Rhinolophus ferrumequinum: one gene and its partner. The protein of the gene in region 2 purifies or fractionates together with the protein of the main gene of each other region. This does not show direct contact. Links are inferred from orthologs where the notes say so. Each region holds a gene or a part of one and is shown on either strand. Other genes may lie near its edges. The genes, in order: GRK2 and PTCH1.

The links.
Region 1: the proteins of PTCH1 (region 2) and GRK2 purify together in Homo sapiens (affinity purification with western blotting; 3 studies listed by BioGRID and IntAct, with this or other methods). This does not show direct contact. The link is inferred for Rhinolophus ferrumequinum from reciprocal best matches to the Homo sapiens genes PTCH1 and GRK2.

The regions. Positions count from the first base shown.
Region 1 is NC_046294.1:4,932,890-4,943,555, forward strand, and holds the start of GRK2 (beta-adrenergic receptor kinase 1), read right to left. Parts: upstream 4,602-10,666; 5' UTR 4,363-4,601; coding exon 4,250-4,362; intron 1-4,249. UniProt on the Homo sapiens protein: Specifically phosphorylates the agonist-occupied form of the beta-adrenergic and closely related receptors, probably inducing a desensitization of them. Key regulator of LPAR1 signaling.
Region 2 is NC_046295.1:7,892,344-7,901,858, forward strand, and holds the start of PTCH1 (protein patched homolog 1), read right to left. Parts: upstream 4,090-9,515; coding exon 3,892-4,089; intron 3,141-3,891; exon of another isoform or gene 2,934-3,140; intron 2,255-2,933; coding exon 2,062-2,254; intron 1,440-2,061; exon of another isoform or gene 1,419-1,439; intron 1-1,418.

The DNA of each region.
Region 1 (10,666 bases), on a different chromosome or scaffold from region 2:
TTGAAACAGCTTAGCGGTAACTTGAATGTACTATCGTCTTTGTTATGTGACCAGCGGAGGACACAGGGCCCCTTGGGACCACAGGAAGACAGGGCAGGTGTGATGGAGGCTGTGCATTCCCCAAAGACTCTCACGCTCATGGCTTCTGTTTGTCCCCAGGCAGGAGCATCGTATCCCGGAAGCCCCAGCCATATACACGCAGCCTGAACTCCCTGGGCCCCAAGAGCTCAGCACCTCTGCAAAGCTGACCTGGGCGCCTGCCCGGGGTGGGGGAGGAAACGCAGGCTGCAGGAGTGCGCCTACAGCTGACATCACAGGGATTTACTACTAGGAATTGATCGTCCATTAATAGGACACATTATTCCTGGATTTGGGTTGACAGAGCCCAGATTCCCCTGCTCATGCTTGTCCGCTCAAACCCCACAGTAAACAGGCAGGTGAGCAACTTTCATGACAAAAACATGAAACCTAGTGCTCAGGAAAAGAGAACAGATGGGAAAAGGTGTCCCAGAGACCCATTCCTGGGGAATGCAGGGGCTTCAAAGGCCCAGAGGGAAGGACTGCTGGCAGGGTCATCTTGTCTTCAGGGGCAGGAGTGGGGAGGACGATGATACTGGAGTGGAAAGTTCTGGCGAAGGGATAAAGGCTAGTGATGAAGAAGTGGAGGGAGGAGGAAGGGACGAAGTGTTCCCCTGCACCCCTTCCCCCCACAAATAAGGGCAGGAAGTTCTGGAGGCAAAGAGTTAACAGGAACGAAGCAGCAGCAGAGGAAGAGTGGCCGGTCTGGGAGACTGGGAAGCCAGCAGAGGGCAGGAAGAAGGAAATCCATGGTGGGGGAGGGACCAGGAAAGAACCGAGAAAATGGGAGGCTGCAAGAGGCACCCGGCTCCAACAATCTGCTGCTGGGGCTGCCACTGTCACCGGGGACAGCAGGGGCACCTCCTGGGACCGCCCAAGCCGGCTCCTCAGCCAGGAGCCCAGAGATTAATTACACGAGGCCTCCATGGTCATATTAAGCAAATGGCGATGGTTACAGGGCTGCTGCTGCTGCTGGAAAGGGAAACAGTGGCTCCTTTGGGGAGAGGCTCAGACCACAGACCCTGAGAGGTCACTGGTGAAGCGGCAGCCCTCGGTTTACCGATGTGAACACTGAGGCCGTCTCAGCCAGGATAAGGGACGTGCCTGGGTCCCATGGGAGCTGGTATCGGGGCAGGATTAGAAGCCGAGTCTCCTGTCTTTCAGCTACACAGCTCTGCTTCCTTCCATGAGAAGGTGGAGAAATGGGTCTGTTTCCTCAGATTCTATAGGGTGACAGAAGGGGAGGCCCCTGTGCCAACTCAACATGGCCCTGTGCCCAACAGCTCCCTACCCCAACCCTGAGGAGTCAGAGCTGTGAAGCCAGCCCCAGGACTCGGCCAAGCCACAACCCGGGCACCAGCCGAAGGGAGGCTGCCAAGATGGACCACCCCAAGGTGGAAGCAACTCCAAATGGCACCTTGTCATGGACAAACCAAAGCCTTTCTCCTTGACCCTGACCTTATGGGTGAGGGGATGACGTGACCCCCAGGTGTGGAGCTGCCTCCTCTAGGCACCAGCGTTGCCGGGGCAGCCCAGTTCTGTCCCAGCCAACGAGGAGGGGGCTGGGCCTTATGAACTAGGACAGCTGACGGTGCTGGGGGCTGCCCTGCTGCCAGGCTACCTCCCCAGATCCATGGCTCCCCGGACAAGGGGTGCCAGCTGGTACATTCCACAAAACATGGACAGATGAGAGCAGAGGTGTGGAGGGATGTGCAGAGGATATGAAGCCTGGCAGGGAGTCCAGGGACCCGGGTTAAGATTCCAGTTCCCCCCGTGACCAAGTCTCCCTCTCTGAGCCTCAGTTACTCGAACTATTAAATGGGAGAATACCACCGGCTGTGCCAGCGCTGTGAAAAGGATAAATGGAGTAAAAACACTTTGCAAACTGGGGAGTGCCTCCCAGGGTAGGAGGCATCTGACCCTGGCTGTGTGAAGCATAAAGCAAAGGCTAGCATGTCCTCTGATGCAAGAGGCCTGGACTCCTAGGGGCAGCCCTGGCCCTTCCCCGGCCTTAGCTCACCAACATCGATCACTGCTTAGAGGCTCCAGTCCATCTCACAGATGTGAGTCATTGCCAGATGGTGACCCTACACGAGAACCTGTAACACCTGGCTCTCAGCCCAGGTGTTCCCCTAAACTAACAGCCTACCTGGTTTCAGACATCACACAGTGCTGACAGGGCTTGAGCAACTCTACACGCAAGGCATGGCCTTGTTGGTTTTTGGATCAACTGAGATGACAGGTGTCAAAATAGATAATAAATTATCACAATTTCCACCATCATTCCCATCATCACCATCATTACCACAGATAGTAAAGGGGACAGGAAAAGAGGAACAGCTCGTTTCTCGGGGTGCTAACACCTGCAGAGCCGGCCCAAGGCGGGGCCCCATCAGGAGCAATGCATTCTGGGGAGAGATTACCCAAATGCAGAGAGTTCCAGAAAAGGCCCCACCTCACCCTTTTGCAGAACTCCAACCTACAGGAGAGTCTCAAGGGTTTGGCCACCAAGGAAAGCCGTTACCAGCCCCAGAGGCTGACTCCCCCGTTTCCTCCCTCGTGGCTTTGTCATTTCTGAACTCGTTTTTGTTCTAACTGTCACTGCTCCCTGGACAGCCCCCAGCCGAGAGTCAGTCTGGTTCCTGTTTTGAGAAATCTGATTGCAAATGTCTTAGAAAAAAAGGGGCCCTAACGGCCTTTTCAAAATGCAGACCAATTTTCCTCTCCAAGGCCTAGTGTTCAGTCAATCCGAAACCCAGTGAACAGGCCCCGAGGAGGGCACCGGAGACAACGGCATGGCACCCCTCGCAGCTTTGGGACTCGCTTCAAAGACTCAGGACACCACATAGTCACGACCTCATTTCATACCTTCCACATTTCACAGATGAGAATACCGAGGCCCAGAAATGGGAAGGGACTTGCCCAAAGTCACATGATAAGACCATAACAGCTAGGACAGGCCCAGCCTCCAGGGCTGGCCGGGAACCAGGATGCCAACTCTCAGGCAGGTATGGAAGAGTTGCTGGGACAGGCCTCACCATGTGACCCAAAGAATTGTAGTGGGCACACGGCTCTTATAGATACGGAACGGCCAGGCCCCGGCTCAGGCCAGAGTGGTGGACGCGATGTGGACCTAGAAGCCGGAAGCCCTGATCTGGTGGCTGGGCACCACCCTGGATTACCTGTGACACTGGGCAGGCCACTCACCTCTGGGACTTCAGCTTCCCACCTGTTCCCTAGGGACAAAACCACACCTGTCCTATCTGCCCATGGGTGGCCTCGAGGCTCAAACGATGGGAAAATACTCTAGAAACCATAAAATGCTGGACAAGCCTCAGTTCTCATCTGTACCTGTATACTTCTGCACTTACATCCTGCACTGTTTAAACTTTGACACCAGGTGCAATGACATCAGTTGTCTCACAGAGAGGTGGCAGCCGTGGTCCAGCTGCTGCAGTGGTGCTAGGCTGTCCCCCAGCAAACAGCACCCATAGGGCACCATACCTGGGCCGGCCAGAGGAGGAATACAAGGGGAGAGGGACAGTGGGTGTCTCCCCCACTGGGAGGGGCACACACCACACCCTGTGTGATCCCAGGTGATCCCGACCACCAAAGCACTCTCAAACGCCACCCCAAGCCAGTGACCCACCAGAGCGTAGGGAAGACTTATTGTCTCCCCCAAACCTCACACAGTGCTGACCAGAAGACCCGGGGGGCGGGGGTGGGGGGGGGGTGGGCTGGGAGTAAGGGCAGCAAAAGGATGAGCGATATAGTCAGGCCAGGTAGATGCTAGGAGGCAGAGGAGGGGACCCCATGGGGAGGGTGGAGGAGACCAAGGGTAGCCGGACGAAGGGGAGTGGGGCCCCTGTGGGAAAAGGCAGAGATGAGGGCCCCGCAGAGTGCACGAAGGGAAAGGGAGGCCGAGTGGGGCAGGGGGCAGAGTCGGGTGGGGAGCCAGTGGGGCTGGAAAGCCTTGGCGCCGGGACACTCCGGGTTCAGGAGCACAGGGCCTGGCGAGCAGGGATCGGGTCAGCGCCGCTGGACCTGGAGCGGTGGCTGGGGCAGAAGGGGTCACGGGGCAGTGCCCCGGCGGTCTGCGGCTGCGGGGTCGGGGCTGGGCGCTCGCCACACCCGACAGGGAGCGGGGCCAAGGGGCCGGCGGCCGCCTCACCTGGGCTCGGGCAGCAGGATCTTCTTGCTGGCGCGCGCGGCCGGCGTGGCCTTGCTCTTCTCCATGGCCATCAGGTAGCTCACGTCGGCCAGCACCGCCTCCAGGTCCGCCATCTTGGCGGCGGCGGCGGCCTCTCCCGCCGCTCAGCTCGGCTCCGCTCCGCTCCGCTCCGCTCGACTGGCGCGCTTGGCCCGGCCCGGCCGCTCCGTCGGCCTCGGGCGCCGCCGCCCGCCGGCCCCGCTCGGCGCCCGCGGCTCCGCTCGCCGCGGCTCACAGGCGGCGCCGCCCCATGGCGCCGGCTCGGGCCCGGCCGCGGCTCGCTCCGCTCCCGCCGGGACTGCAGTCGGGCCGCCGCCGCCCGCGCCCCGGAGCCGCCGCCGCCTCCGGCCCCGCCTGCCGCGCACAGCGCCAGCGAGCCCGCGAGGGGCCGGGCGGGCGGGCGGCGGCGCCCCCTGGAGGCCGCGCGGGCTGGACTTGGCCTGACCCCAGAGGCCACCCAGACCCCATCTCAGACCCATCCCGGACCCCGACCCCGGGCCGGGGTCACCACCTTGACCCTAACCCGGATCACAACTCGGATGCCAGACTCCGCCATAGACCACGTCCTGACCCCTGGCTGGCACTTCAGCGCACGATCCCAGGGACTTGGGTCTCAGGCCCTGACTACAACCCCTGACTCCCTGATCTTGGACGCAGTCGAGGACCTGACACCACACCTGAATACCATTCATGACCCCATACTCCAAACAGGACCCCAGCCCAAACCTTGGACACCTCTTATCTGACCATGACCTTGGATCACAACCAAGAGTCCCCGACTCCACCCAGACCTTGAACCTGACCCCAGACCCCCAACAGGACCCCCACATCCAGACTTTGGACTATGACCTCAAACACTGATCATAACGTCAATCCCATCCTGGTTACTGATCCCAGACCTTGATTCTAACCCCAAACCCAGACCACTATCATGACCCTGAACCCTGAACATGGGGGCAGGGCCCAGATCTGGTCTTGGACTGTCAACGCTAGACCAGGGTCCTAGACCCAACACCAGGAAGTGTGGAAATAGGCCCAGAAACAGGATATCCAATTATGACCCAGACTGGACCTAGAACCCTTAACAGGTTGCCATAAACCTGGGACCCGACAACTGTAGTTAGACTCCAGGCTTACCCCACCCCCAATCCTGCTCAAGACCCAGTCCTGGCCCCAGGACTCCCACTCAGGACCAAGGACCCTGTACCAACAACCCCTGCCCTACCTAGACCAGCTGTAGTCCCAGGCCCCTGGCTTGCATCCCAACAACCCAACTATAGAATCATGATGGAATCATCATAATTCCACAACGTGAGATCCAATCGCTCTCATCCTGGTAGGGCACAGGGGTCTGTCGCAGTGCTGCCTAGCAAGGGAAAATCACTCTGGTGAGAGCCCATGGGGGTGTATAGGGGAAATCCATGTGTTTCAAAGCAGTACCCCCTATCTCAACATGCCCTTCTCTAGAGCTTCTGCTTTCCAAGGTGACAAAGTTCCCTTTCAATCTTGGGCAAAAGGAGGGCAAGCCTCTTGCCAATTTGTGAGTCAGGAACGAGGACCCTTTTACAAAGCAGGAAGCCCTTCCCTGTGCACTTCTCAGGCTACCTTCTGAGAACAGCCTCTGCAGAGCTTGAAACCAGAGCACATCAGAGCTGGCAAGGTCCCTTCTCAGTGGGCTGAGATTCTAGGGCTCCAGGCATCAGACTTGACTCCTCCCTGTTCCCCTGCCCTAATCTACTGGCGCCACACCCTTCTGTCTGGGAATCTTCTTGAACCCGGCTGCTTCTCAGGATCCCTATGGCTGCTGCCGATGTGGCCCCTGACTAGAGATGCCTCTCTCAAATTAAGATCTGATGGAGTTACCACCTGCTTAGCAGGGACAAGCAGAGCTCCAGGCCAGAGGGAGCTCCAGGCCGCACCTACTCTGCCCAAAACAGATCAAGTGAACAAGTTCCTTAACCTGTAAGTCAAGGTCTTGGATGACTGTGCCCGCCTTCTCTCCCCAGCTTGTGTTGCCACCACCCTCTGCACCTGGGGTCCCTCTGCCAGGCCACCCATCCATTCTCACCTCTGTGACTTTGCTCTTCCCTGTGCCTGGAAGCCCTTTGTGTGTCCTCATCCCTGGTGAGATCCTGCTCATCCCTTAAGACCCACTTCCTGCCGGTAACCTTCCCCAACCCCCCTCCCACTGTGTACATCTGTGATTCTGCACTTACCACCTAGCTCCTTGATTTTGAACATCATCAATTGTAAGATGCATCATGTCATGTTTTTGACAGTGGGATGGGGTGAAGCTTTATTCAACGTTTGCATCAATTGGAAAATGCCTCCTGATGTTGGAAGTGCTAATTATGGAGAGAAAAAAAAGGTACATACCATCTCCACCTGTAACTGACGCTCCAGTTTATCCCTTGCCCCCAGAGCCCACCACAGGACCAGACGCAGAACGGCCTAGTCAATGTTTGATGAGTGAATGAGCTCCTCAGCCGAAGGTGGCACATGGAGTTTGGGGAAGAATAGGGTCAGAGGCACACAGGATGCCACAGCAGAAGGACTAACCTCCTCTCTTCCCACCCCTCCCCAGCTCTTTGGGACTCTGACTACAGCCACACGCTGGCCTGGGTTGTCTGGAGCAGCCTTGATTTAAAAAATTCTTCCTGATGAACTTGTCAGACCAGAGTCCCTGGTGGTTCTCAAATGCCAGCCATCCTGCTTCAGGAAATGGTCCTCCCCTCCCCCCACCACCTGAAAACCCAGACTGCCCCTCCCACCCACAGCCCAATCTGAAGCCCCAGAAGGCCTGAAGCTAGGGTCCTTCGAGAGAGCCAGTCTCCAGGCTGCCCTTCGTTGATTCTTGGGCAGTGGAAAGCGGCTCCTAGAAGCCCTGACTGGGAAGAGGGTGGTGTTGGGTCCCTGGTCTGGGCGAGTTTCTGGTCCGGGGAAGGCTATTTTTTGGGGTGGTGCTGCCCTCTGGTGGTTGAGGGAAGGTGGATGGTAAACTTTCTTCAGTCATTCTCTCAACAAACTTTTGTCTCCTGCCCAGACTGTGCCAACCTCTGGATGGGATGCTGGCAGTAAAAGAGGAGGGGAACCCCATCTCTGCCCAGCTGGCAGATCTGCAGACACACCATTACCTGGCATCTCCCCTGGATGACTAATAGGTGTGGCAAACTTAAAACATCCCACACTGAGCTCTTGCTTCCACACGCAGCCCCGGTGCAGCCTGCTCCTCTGAAGCCTCCCCATCTCAGTCATGGCTACTCCATCTTCCAGAAATCTAGGAGTCATCCTTGATTCCTCTCTTCCCTCGCCTGGCCCCTGCCACCATGTACACGCACACTGTCATCCAGCCTGTCCCTGAAGAATACCCCGGCTTCTTCCAGTCCTTCCACTGTGCCCTGCTGAACCCGATCTTGTCCCATCACCTCCCACCTGGTGCTGCCGTCCACACCAGGCTCCTCACGGAACATCCTGCCTCTCATCTAGCCAGAGTTTTTACAGGCCTAAATCAAAGCTCACCTCCAATGACTGTCCCTGCACTAAGGATAAAACCCACCCCTTTCCCAGGGCCTATAAGATCTGCACCGTCTGGCCGCCTGCCCATCTCTCTCATTCAGTTCTATCCCCTTCCCCTTGCCCCTTAGTCTCGTCTCTCTGGTCTTCCTTTTGTCACTATAACAAGCCACAGTCACTTCTACCTCAGGGGTCTTTATAATTTCCCTTGCCTGGAATACCCTTCCCTGCCTTCCTGGCAACGCCAGGCTCCTGTTCACCCTGCATCTCCTGGGCTGAAAGCTTCCTGCTCAGAGTACTCTCCCTTAGCGCCCCTGTTGGTCGTGGTCACTGCTGCCTTCCTTACGCACCCCTCATGGCTCCCAGCACAAAGTTAGGGCCGCACAAAGAAACAGGATTCAGTGGTGGCCTGGTCCAGTGGGGAAGAAAACCCCTAAATGCATACCTCCAATTAACCTGGCAAGAACTATAATGCAAGGAGGTGGGGTGTCCAGGAGGGTCAGTGGAAAAGTTGGGGAGGGCAGGGGAGAGATAAGGAAGGTCTTGAACTTGACGTGTGTGCACATGAATGTGAATGAGGTTGGGGGTGAGGACTGGCACATTCAAGTTTCGTCCTGCCGGGGCCTCCCCTCTTCATCTCCATCCTGTGCTTTGAAGATTCAGGAGGATGAGTTTGGCTGCTTCCCTGACCTCACCAGGGATGTATGGATGCTGGGATTTCACTTCATTCACTCACTCACTCATCTGACACTGTTTGTTGAGCTTCTACTACATGCCAGGTTCCGGTGCTTGGCCTTGAGGATCCAACATAGGGAGACACAGTGAACTTATGGGCAAACTGCACACCGTAACAACCACTGACATTTATTGGGTTCTCACTGTGGGCAGATGTCACGCAGGGCGGCCTGCAGGATCTCAGCTCCCACTCCCCACATAAGAATGCAGGACATGGTGAGGCCAAAAAGGAACACCCACGGAGCCATAGGTAGGAGAGTCATACCACTATACTCTCACTGGTGGCTGGGTTGGAGACACAGGAACCAGGAACAACACAATTCTCAACCTTCACTGTGCCGCTTGCAGACTCAGCCACCATCTTCTTGCTAGCTCCCCCCTTTTTTTGCTAGCCTAGCCACGGCAGTTATATTATTGCCCAATGGCTCACTGGTTACAGCTGACGGCCAACTAGCCACAGCTGATGGCCATTTGATCACAGTCGATGGCCATTTACTACCTGAGCCAGCACCTTTCTATGTGAGGCCGAGAACCTGGAAACTGCTTTTTGGGGCTCTGTCCCCACAGCAGAGCACTGTTTCTAGAGCCCAGACTGATCACATTTAATGCTCAAAGCATCCTTATGGGGCAGGTGACAAGGTACTATAAAAGCTAAGGAGCCCCCTCGTGTGAAGCCCTTTGAGGAAGGGCTTTTTTGCTGGAGCCAGAAGGATGGGAGGAAGCAGCTTTGTTAGGGGCAGGAAGAGCTTTCCAGGCATGTGGCACAGCAAGTGCGGAGGCCCTGGTTATCCAGGAGGCTTCCTCAGCTCCAGGACTCCCTCCCTCACAGTCCAAGAACCTTCAGGGGCCCCTCGACAAGCAGACATGAGCTGCACGCAACTCTGGCCGGGACTTCCAGACCTCTGGCTCCGCCCAACTCGCTTCCCGGGAGCGGCGCCTCTTCCTGGAACCCTTCAGAAGGTCACACAGTCTCCGCACTGCCCCGGGCCCCAGTATCCTTTTCCTCTTCGGAGCCTTAGTCCGGACGTGGCACCAGCCTGTGGCCCGCCCCTCCCGGTCTACGGCCAGGTCCCCAACCCTGCCCCGCCCCGCTCCGCCCCGCCCCTGGCTCCGGCCCCGCCCCTTGCCCCCGGCCCCGCCCCGCCTCTGGCTCCGGCCTCAGGCCCCGCCCCTCTCGGCCTCAGCCGATCTCGGCCTCTGCAACGCGTTACCCTCGGGAGCCGTCCCCAGCGCGCATGGCACCCTCGTCTTAGCCTGGAGCCGGAACGTTCTGTGTTCACGCGGCTCGCGTTTGTGTCTTGACACTCCCAGCCGCCTGTGAGTGTCCGAGGCATGGTCTCGTAGCCCCCACCGGCCCCATACAGTGGCCACTGGTACTTGCTGTGTCTGGGGACTGGAGGACGTGTGTGGCCAAGACTGGGGTCAAATGCTAGTGCCACCTCGTATTGCCCTAGCTGGGTGTCCTAGGCAAGTTACTTATCTGAGCTTTGCCCTTTTCATCTGTGCACGGGGAGTCGCCAGCCTGGCCTCACTGGATTGTTTTGAGGGCTAACGGAGATATGTGCACTGTTAGGCTTTCTGAGTGGCCACTGTCACACGTGGAGTATCTTCGGTCTCACTTGTGTCTCCCTCTAGGAGTCCTCCATGGTCCTTTTCTCTCATTTCATTTCTCTTCTCCCCTCCTCCTTTCTCTACTTCTGTTTCTCTTTCCTTTTCTGGGTTTTTCAGGATGTTTTCTCTCCATGTGTCTGTGTCTGCTTCTGTCTCTCTGTCTTGCCTCTCTAGCACTCTCATGGCACATTCTGGGGGCTAGCAGCTGGACCTTCCCGCCGATTGTAGCTCTCCCGAATGTGTTGGGTGGCAGAGGCAGAAGCTGGGTGACAGTGCCAGGCCAAGAACAAAACCAGGTGCTCCTGGACCTCAGGTGTCTGCTCTTACTGTTTCCTGCCCACATATGGGTGTCCAGCGTTGAAGTTCCCTTCTGGGCATGGGCACCCGGAAAAGTGGCGGCTGGACAGGTCTTCCCAGCCAGGAAGTGCCTGGCCTGCTTGGCTCCTGCTGACCACTCAAATGGCACTAAGCACATTGCTGGCATGGAAGGGCAGGAGAGAGCTGGGATTGTCCCTCCCC
Region 2 (9,515 bases):
ACAGCCTAGCCAATCACATCATTTCCAAACTACAGCCCTGCTGTCCAGGGCCCACCTGAGCTACTGCACCCCATTACTACTGGGGGAGGAGGGAGTCCCACTGCCATCTGTCTGCTCAGCTTGGGCCTTCAGCTTGGACCTTTGCCTGACCTCCTTTTTTGAGCTTCTTCCTAGAACTTCCACTCCCTCCTCTCTCCCTCTCCCTCTCCCTCTCCCTCTCCCTCTCCCTCCTCTCCCTCCTCTCCCTCCTCTCCCTCTCCCTCTCCCTCTCCCTCTCCCTCTCTCTCCAGGTCACCCTAGTTTGCCTTACCACCTCCAAGGAAGCTTTTCTTTTTTCACAGTTTTCCATTTAACTTTCTCAGCCCACTTTCTGTGAGCTCAAATTTAGTGCAAGTCCATCTAACTCGAGTAGTTTTAAGTCCATGAATTTGTGCTCAGGGAATGCCTCCCACGCTCTGGGGTCCCTTACAGTGCCTGGCACATTGCTAGGGATGGTACAGGTGCCCAGTAAATTTCCTGCTAAGACACCATAGATGGTGACTAAAACCCTTCTTTTATCTACCAACAACATTGAAGTGCTGAATTGAGGTAAATTAACCTCCATGGATTCTATCCAAATAACACTTTTGTATTAATTACCAAGCTACTTAAGGCAAGAATGTTTTCTGGTTTTAATTATTTGCACTATTATTTTAATTGTCATTTCTCAACTAAAGACTCTACCATATGCTTGCAAAACACTGAAAGCTGAATCTTCACAAAGCAAAATCAACAAAAAATATTCTCCAAGGTCAGTTCTCCAACAGCATTCTGAAAGGAATCAATTATGCATGTAACTTAGGCTTCCACATTTTGTCTTAGGTAGCTTTCATTAGGAATACTCCACATTTCTGGTTTGAAATATCTGCATAATTACCTCAAGTCCCTTCCTCCCATCCCATTTTAAGAGAGACCCAAGGCAGTGTTTAGAGGTTAAAATGCTTCCAAATCGCAAGACTGTCACTTTCCCAAAAGAATTAAAAGACAACCAACAGAAAACAAAACCCAAACAAAAACAAACAAAAAACCCGTATCACCAAAAGAATGTAAAATGTTTGTGGGGGGAGGGGATCTACTTTAAATTTACAACTGCTTAAAAAAAAAAAACTTCAAGAACCCCCCCCAAACTGAGGAATGCAGATAAAAGACTGACAGAACCCCTTGGAGAGCTCCTGTGGCCCCTCTCTCCAAACCCGTGTTCTTAAAACACATTTCTTCATTCAGCCTGCAAAACGCAGCCTTTCCCCAGAATAATTCCATTTATAAAGCCCCCACCCGCGAGGAAACATTAATCTACTTTGCAAACATGCGTTCCAGTCAGTGCTTTACTGTTTTTTTTTTTAACTCCTTCCCCCATCCCCCCACCCTTTTTTTTGTACCTTGAGACAAATGTTTTTTTCCCGCGAGTTGAAAGCTGTCCAAAACCAGGACCACACACGCCGCCGCCTCCGCAGGCCCGCGCTGCTCCCTCCCCCCGCCCTCCCCAGCGCGGCGGCCGCGGCCGCCGGGGGCGCGCACACTCCCTCCAGCCGGAGGGGTGGCCTTTCCCTGCCTTCCCCCTTCTTTCTCTTTGGACGCGGTGGGTGGGGGTGGGGGGACGGAAGCCGAGGACCAGAGCCAGGAGCCGAGTGGCCTGCCTGTGGCCGCGTCTCTGGGCGCGGCGGAGGCGGGCGGCGACGGCGGCGGCGGCGGCTGCAGGCCCCGAGGCCCCCGGCCATGCAGTGGTCCATTCCGCGGAGGGGCCCCGCGCCCCCGCCGGCCCGCCCCCGCCGCTCTCTCCCACAACACCTAGCACAGCGCAGCGCCCCGAGTAGATTACAGCGCGGCCTTTGTCGGACGGGCCTGGCTCCGGTCCAGGCGCCCAAACAATAAACAATTCCCCCTGGTGCAGGCAGGGGTTTTCGCTCGCACCGAAAGGCTCTAGGTGTACGCTGGCAAATATCTTTATCAATTGGAAGAAAGGGTACTAGAAGCCCGGGGTGGGGGACGGGAGAGCGCCGCACCGGGCGCTGGGTCTCTTACCTTCCACCCACAGTTCCTCCACGTTGGTCTCCAGATTAGCTGCCTTTAATCCCACAGCGAAGGCCCCAAATATGAGGAGGCCTACAACCAAGAATTTGCCGCAGTTTTTTTGAATGTAACAACCCAGTTTAAATAAGAGTCTCTGAAACTTCGCTCTCAGCCACAGCGGCGCTTTCCGGCCAGTAGCTTTCCCCTGAGGATGAAGCAGAAAGGAGTGGTAAGCGTCGGGGAGTCACAGCCCGCGCGCCCACGCTCGCTTGCGCGCACCCGCCCGCGGATCCTGCGACAGCTGTGGATAGTGCCCAGGAGGTTGGAACCCTGGCCGGCACGAGAGAACGCGAGCGGCTTGGGGGAGGGGGGGCTGCTTAAATAAAAAACGGGCTGCAGCGTGGGAGTTGCACCTTGGCGACAGCAGGGGCGCCCCCACGCGTGGCCTGCGCAGCATCCCTGAATGCAACTTGGGGAGCTGGGGGGAGGGGCTGCAAGAACACGTGAAGGGTAAGATGAGGCACAGAACACAGAAATCATTCAACACAGGCAATAGCCACGCGGGACTTGATAGGGGAGGGGCTGCGTAGTCCTGTGATGGAGCACAACTTCTCTGAACCAGCAAAGCTCCGCTCCCTTCCCTGCAAATCCTGCCCCACCCTTCACCCCTCTCCGGGTACCCTGGCGGGGACGCGGGCTGAGGGGCGAGCGCGCTTTGGGAACAATGTAGTGCAGGATCTCCCATCCTGATCCCTCCCGGCGTGGAAGTAAGGGGATCCACGTGGTGAGCGCGGCCACCGGAGCTAACTCGGGATCCATTTCCATAGCGTTGGGAGACGCTGTGTGAGCTGAATTAGGAAGTGGGGCAGCCATCTGCAACTTACGACAATATTTGTGATCGGAAGAGGGCAGCCACATGGATCTTTCCCTCCTCTCCCTTCCCTTCGGTTTAAATGTAAAAAGCAGCGGAGTGCACAGGGGAAGGGCCCAGGCCGGCGCAGGCGGGGGTCCTGGCTGGGCGCTGGCTGCTCCCGGCGGCGGCGTTTCCCCGGCGCTGGCCGCGGCCCCGGCGGGCCCCCGTCTGGGTGCTCGCCTTCTCCGGATTCCACACATTTCAGCGAGCCTCGTAAACACAATGAACCCGGCCGCTCCGCAGACCCGGACCAAGGATTTAAGGTGGCAATTTGTTTACAACTTTCCCTTTACCCCTAGGCTCTGAAAAGAACTGGCTCAAAAACTGGAAAAGAAGAGGGGAGATGCCCTCTTCCGAGGATAGTTTTTAAGGGAGCAGAGATTTCATGCTCAACAAAAGCAAAACCGGCTGCCAAAAAAGGAAACCACCTTTATTTCGGCTCCCTCCCCCCTTCTTCTCTCCGCCTCTCAGTACTCCGCCTCCCCCTCCAAGATGTTAAGAAATGTGGCAGCATTACAGGGGTTTGGGCTGCAAATAGGGGCAGGGGCCGGGGAGGAGGGGGCACCGAGGCAGGGGGCGCCGGGCAGTGCCGCGCTGCGGCCGCCCTCGAGGTGGTCCACTGTGGACCGCTTTCCAGTGCTCCGGAAAAGGCACGCTGGGGAGGGCGCGCGCGCGCGCGCGCACACGCACACACACACACACACACACACACACACACACCCCTCCACCCCCTGCGGACCTCAGACAGCCCTTTCCTTCCAGGACCTGAGGGTGGGTTTGAATTTTTCAATCCCCGCTTGTCTGCTGCTTTTCCTGAAGAGGTGTGTGAGTGTGTGTGTGTGTGTGTGTGTGTGTGTGTGGCGGGGCTACCCCAAAGAGGAAGAGGAGGGAGGAGAGAGTGGGAGGAGAGGAGAGAGTCTGAAATGCACCTTGGAAATCTGCTCCAGAGCGAAGGCGGCGTCGCAGTAGCTGGGCCGGTGCAGATAGTCCCGGTCCGGCGCGGCGTGGCGGCGCAGTCCCCCGGTCCGTCTGCGCCTCCCGCCGCCGGCCAGCCGGCCCGGGGCCCCGCTGCAGCTGCCGCCGCCGCCGCCGTCCTGGGGTTCCGCGGCGTTACCAGCCGAGGCCATGTTGCCGCCGCCGCCGCCGCGGGAACCGAGGTTTCCCGGGCGGCCCGGCGCGCTGTTGCCGCCGCTGCGGGCTCCCTGCGCGCCCCGGCGCTGGGCTCGCGAGGACGCTGCTGGCCGCCGGCAGTTCGGGCTGGGGCTCCGGTTGACAGACCTGCTGCTGCTGCTGCCGCTGCTGCTGCTGCTCACACGGCGGGCGCTGCTGCCGCTGCGGCCGCGGCCGCTGCCGGGGAGTCAGACCCTGCGCCTTCCATTGCCACATTGCGCGGGGGTCCCGAGGTCTCTGCGGCCGCCGCTGCCCACATCCAGTTCTCGGGAGCGCGAGAACCGGCGCGCAGAGCCAGCCTGTCCTTCGGGCGCTTGCTCGGCGCTCCTCGAGGTCCCCGACTCCCCCTACCCGCCCCCCGCCCCGCTCCGCGACCCCTTCACTGCAGAAAACGCCAGCAAATCCCCGCCGCTCCCGCCGGCCTCGCTGGCTCTCTCGGCGCCTCCCGGGTCGCCCGAGCAGTCGCGGAGGACAAGCGCAGAGCCGCTGCCGCAGGGTCCGTGGGTGCCCGGTGGGTCTCAGCGCTGCCGGGCCGGGGCAGCCGCCGCTGCTCCCGCGGCGGCTGCTGCTGGCGGTGGCGGCTCCTGAAGTTGCTGCTTGGGCTGCTCGGGCTCTGGCTGCTGGGCTCGCGGTGGCTGCTCGATCCCGGACTCTGCTTTCTTGTGCTCCTCGCCAACCCGCTGGACCATTCTGCCCCCGTGCAGCGCGCCTCTCTCGCTCCCGGGACCTGGGGACTCCGCTCTGTGTGTGTGCAGCGGGCAGCGGCCGCAGCAGCTCCTTGATTCAATAGATGAGATGGAAGAAGAAAAAAAAGAACTCTCTCCATTTGGAGAAAGAGGAGGAGGAGGAGGGGAGGGGGTGGAGGGGGAGAGAGCGAGCGAAAGAGAAAAAGGCTGGAGCTCCCGCCCCTGGGGCTGTCAGATGGCTTGGGTTTCTGCGACGCGATTGGCTCACGGAGGGCAGAAATTACTCAGCAAACATGACTATTATTAGCTGCTTAGCAACAGCTCACCAAAGTAGAGAGACCACCCAGGTAGGCAACCCCAGTGAGTGCATCCCCGGCTTCGGGGGGAGCCTCCGAGAGCGCCAACCTTCTCGCATGCAATACTTCCATTAAGGAATGCTCTCTCCCTCCCTTTCTTTTTTATTCCTTTTCTTTTCATCAGTGTCTTCTTTTTGTAGACGCTTTTTGAGCGCGCACACACACTCACACACACATAAACACCCACGAGCATTTGCCTCGCGATAGGCACGGGGGAAAATGTAATATTTTTTTAAGCGCTTAAACAATTTCTGAAATTCCTCAAAGAAAACCCTTTCAGAGGCACCTTGGCCTCAAGCTGCAGCAAATACTGGGAGGTCCGGCTTGAATTCCCAGGCCTGCACCAATAATGACAGGGTGGTGGATAGTGCGCCAGTATGTGCCAGATTTTTTTTTCCCTCCTCTTTTATAACTAAAGAGAAGACTTAGGCTCTCGCAGGGAACAACGCCCAGCATTAAGATAAACAAAATGGAAAGTTAAAGAGGAAAGTAAGGACGTTGAGAAAAGCAACCCTCTCTTAAAATCCATCTCCCCCCCCCGTCCCGCTCCCCCACAAACCCCACGGCAGCACAGTCCTGGTTTGAAGGAGGCAGTGTTTTATAAACGTGGAATCCAGACACCGAAGCATTCTCATGGAGGCAGAGGCGTTTTTATTTGAATCTTTAATGTGACATATGTAAAAGAGAAAATGCAGAATCCTTTTAACAACCCGGAGAACCGAAATTGTTTCCTTGAGAAAGAGACGTTTTCTTGACTATTGGATTTATTTGGATTTAGACCCCCCCTTTTTTTAATTAACCACGTCCTTATTTAAAAACAAAACGTCTTTTAGACTTCTTCAAAAACTGGTACGCATCCTGTTATATTTAATAATAGCATGACGTAGGGGAGAATAAAGGCTTTGATGTTGGATTCATCGAAACAAATTGTGCGCTGATTGCGAGGACTTGTCTGGACACTGTGGCCAGTGTCACCGAGACATCCCGGGGCTTCACTTCCCGTAGGGGAAGAAAACACGCGACTCTTTGAGGTGGGTCCTAAGGCCATAGTCAAATTAAACTGTCTACATAGCTTCACTTTTTATTTAAAAATAATTTTTTGGACCGTGGAATTTGTTTTTCTTACGTTTGCAAGTTAAGTTCTTCCTTGAGATAGGATCCAGACCCACAAACCCTCGATTCTGCATTATTTTAGTATTTGTTTTTTACTTCTTTTTTTAAAAACGGCGTTGAACTGCAGAGGGACCCACGGCAGCAAGAAGCCGACTGAAGCCGTGAAATGGGGCCGTGTGGCTTTAAGATGCACACGGTGTGTGTTCATTGAAAAAAAAAAGAAGAAAGGAGAGGAAAGAAAGAAACCCAGATGGAAAGGGGGAGGAGCGGGTTAGAGGGTGGAGCCCACGCGGCCACGTGACCCAGGGCCGGGCCGGCGCGCGCTCGTTGGTCCGGAGGCCTATTACGCGCGCGCCCGAGTTCCGGGACTCCCCGCGTCCGCGCGGCCCCGGTCAAGGAGGTAGGGAAGTCGGTGCGCTCTGCTCGTGCCCGGCGGTCTCCACATCTCCAGCGCTGCCTCCCAGGAGCCCAGGGGAGGCGCGCGCCCCGCCGGCGCGGACGGACGTGCCGGACGCGCCGTAGTACATTCCTGAAGGCGGTCCGGCCCCCTTACGTTGGCCAATGCCCGCGCGGCCTCCCCCTGGCTGACCAATGGGTGAGCGCACGGATCCCTTTCCATTCAGCGGCCCCGCGGCCGCGGCCCGGGCAGGAGAGAGACTGCAGCGCCGCCCGCCCGCCACCCGGTCGGCCCACGCGGCTCCCGTGGGGGGTCTGTCGGCCAGCCCGCCCTCTTCCTTCCTCTTCGGTTCCCCCTCCCTCTTTCTTTCCCTCTCCCTTTCACCCCTTTCTTCTCCTCCCGGATCTCTCTCCTCCCTACCCAGCCTCGCCACCTTCCCTCTATGGCTTTTCCTCCTTCCTGGTCTCACTGGGAGACCCTACCCCCTGAATCCCTAACCCGCAAAACATTGTGCAGTACCCCGCGGCGGGGTAGGGTGTCCCATAGAACAGAGACAGAGAATAAGTGTCTAAGGGTGTACAGGAGATCAGGACCGGAGTACCCAGCCAGCGCGGAAATTCAAAACTCCGAAGGAGCACGTGATTTTGTGCGCGGCTCTGGGAAAGACTGCTAAAATCGAGAAGGGAAGACGAGCACCGTCCAATGAAAATGGTACTACGTACATTGATAAATAATATTGCAGGAAAATTGGGCTCGACACATAGCAAGTTTAATCTTTGAGCAAAATTCTGATCTTTATTGTTTGATAAATAGCAGAAATCAGGAAGGTGATTTAATGTTCTATCTGTTTTTGTTTGTTTTGTTTTACTGAATAGTTCTACAGACGTTTCAAGTCAAACCATTTAGTGATTGCCGCTGGAAATTACTTTTTAAAGACTTGAGGGTGGTACTCCTAGTTTTCCATGTCAGTCTTTTTATATTTGATGTATGCTTTATGGCAAGGGAACCATGTAGCCATAGACAGGTTGCTATGTTTGTCTTTTCAAATTTCTTTACAACGTTTTAGGTCAAAATATAAGTTCTTCCTCCCAATCTTTTATTTATAGCAATTTCAGTATAACTACTTGGATTATGGAATTCTAAAATGAAATTATAGGCTATGTACACACATCTTGGTTCCCCATTACTCTCGGCACGCAGCTACATATCCTCTCGTTCTGGCTGCTGCCACATGTGCACCATTTCAATGGTAAAGCCTATTCCACTCGGGCTCGTTTCCCTCGGTTTGACTTAATTCGTAAACGTTTTGAACATTGATCTCCGGGGTTTTCAGCGCCCTGAGCCCCCTCACCCGCTGTTTGATAGGTTAACTTTTCAGCATCTCAGACAATGGTCCCGGTCTGAAAATTCTACCAATCAGTTCCAGGACGCGGTCCCCAACCTGGGCTCTAACAAGCGCTATCTTAATCTCCCCACCCCCACCCGCCGCTTTCCCTGTGGTCTGCTTTTTTCATACACAGAGATGAATTACTTTGAGGATCTAATTGGCCTAGTTTCTGTAACGTTTTAAGAAAGGGAAGAGGCAGTGTAGAAGCCTGCTCGACTTGGGTGGTCAGGGCTGAGGCTGCCCCCAATTTGCCTCATTGCTGATGCATGCGAGTGCGACATTCCCAGCGATAATGTTGTTTCTAACCAATCTGCCCTTATTTACATTTGTAAGCATTGTCGCCTTTAATATGCATGCCCAGTGGAGGGGACCGCTGAGCCACACCGGGTTTGTTAACTTCAACTAACCACAAGGATTCCCCAGACCTGAGATGAGGCTAAGTGGAGGAGCCAGGCCCGCAAAGGAAGACAGACGGTCCATTTAATGGCCTTTCTGCAGCATGGTTCCCCTCCGGAGAGTAACCAAGTAAGTGAGAGCTTGTGGCCCTTTTAACCAGCTGGAGCTGCTGGCCCTCTTTGGCGCAACAGTTGAGTGTTCCATTTCCCCTTTCCAAGTAAAGTTCATCTCAGTGCATCAAATGTCATTTTGATCTCCCAATCATGATCTAAGACTTTATTGGAGTCTGTCGTTTAAAAAACAGATTCCTTAAACTCTTAAAATATGATTCACTCATATCTTCTCCATTCTCTGCTCCAATACTTAAAATATTCATGGCCATGACACACACATCTCAAAAATGACATCCGATTATTCAAATGATGACACTGAAATAAAACATCTGCCCTTCATGTTTGGACATTCCAACGATAAGCAATTGTGGGAGCTGGACTTGGTGGAGTAATGAGAAACCACAGTGAGATTTAACTTTTCACTAGTTTCTCAAATCCAAACAAATGGGTCTTTTTAAAATCTAATGTAATTTAGCTCATTTTTGCAGAGTATAAATGAATAAAGGGGTAAATGTATTCTAGTAATTTGACTCTTGGACCATGTTATGATTTTGTCTACCTACTTTAATACTTGTTCCACAAATGCAAAGAATTGCAAACATTACATTAAGTTCCATAGTATTCCTGTTGAGAAGGTGGGGTAGGGAGAGGAATTGGGGATTTGATGTACATTCTATTTGTGGCTAGAGACCCCAGGGTACAGGATGGGCCAGAGCCTGAGCAGTTCAAAGCAGGTACCTTGGATAAGAGTTGAGTCTTGACTCAATTCAAGCCAGTATGCCATCATCCACATTTTTTTGGCTCTCTAAGAATGCCTTATTATTTCTCATTGGCAGCTTTTGTATTTACTTAAAAGGTGATGGTAGAAAATGAGTCTAAAAGGAAAATGAGTCTAAAAGTTTTGGGGGGGAGGGATGGAAATGGAGATTCAGCAG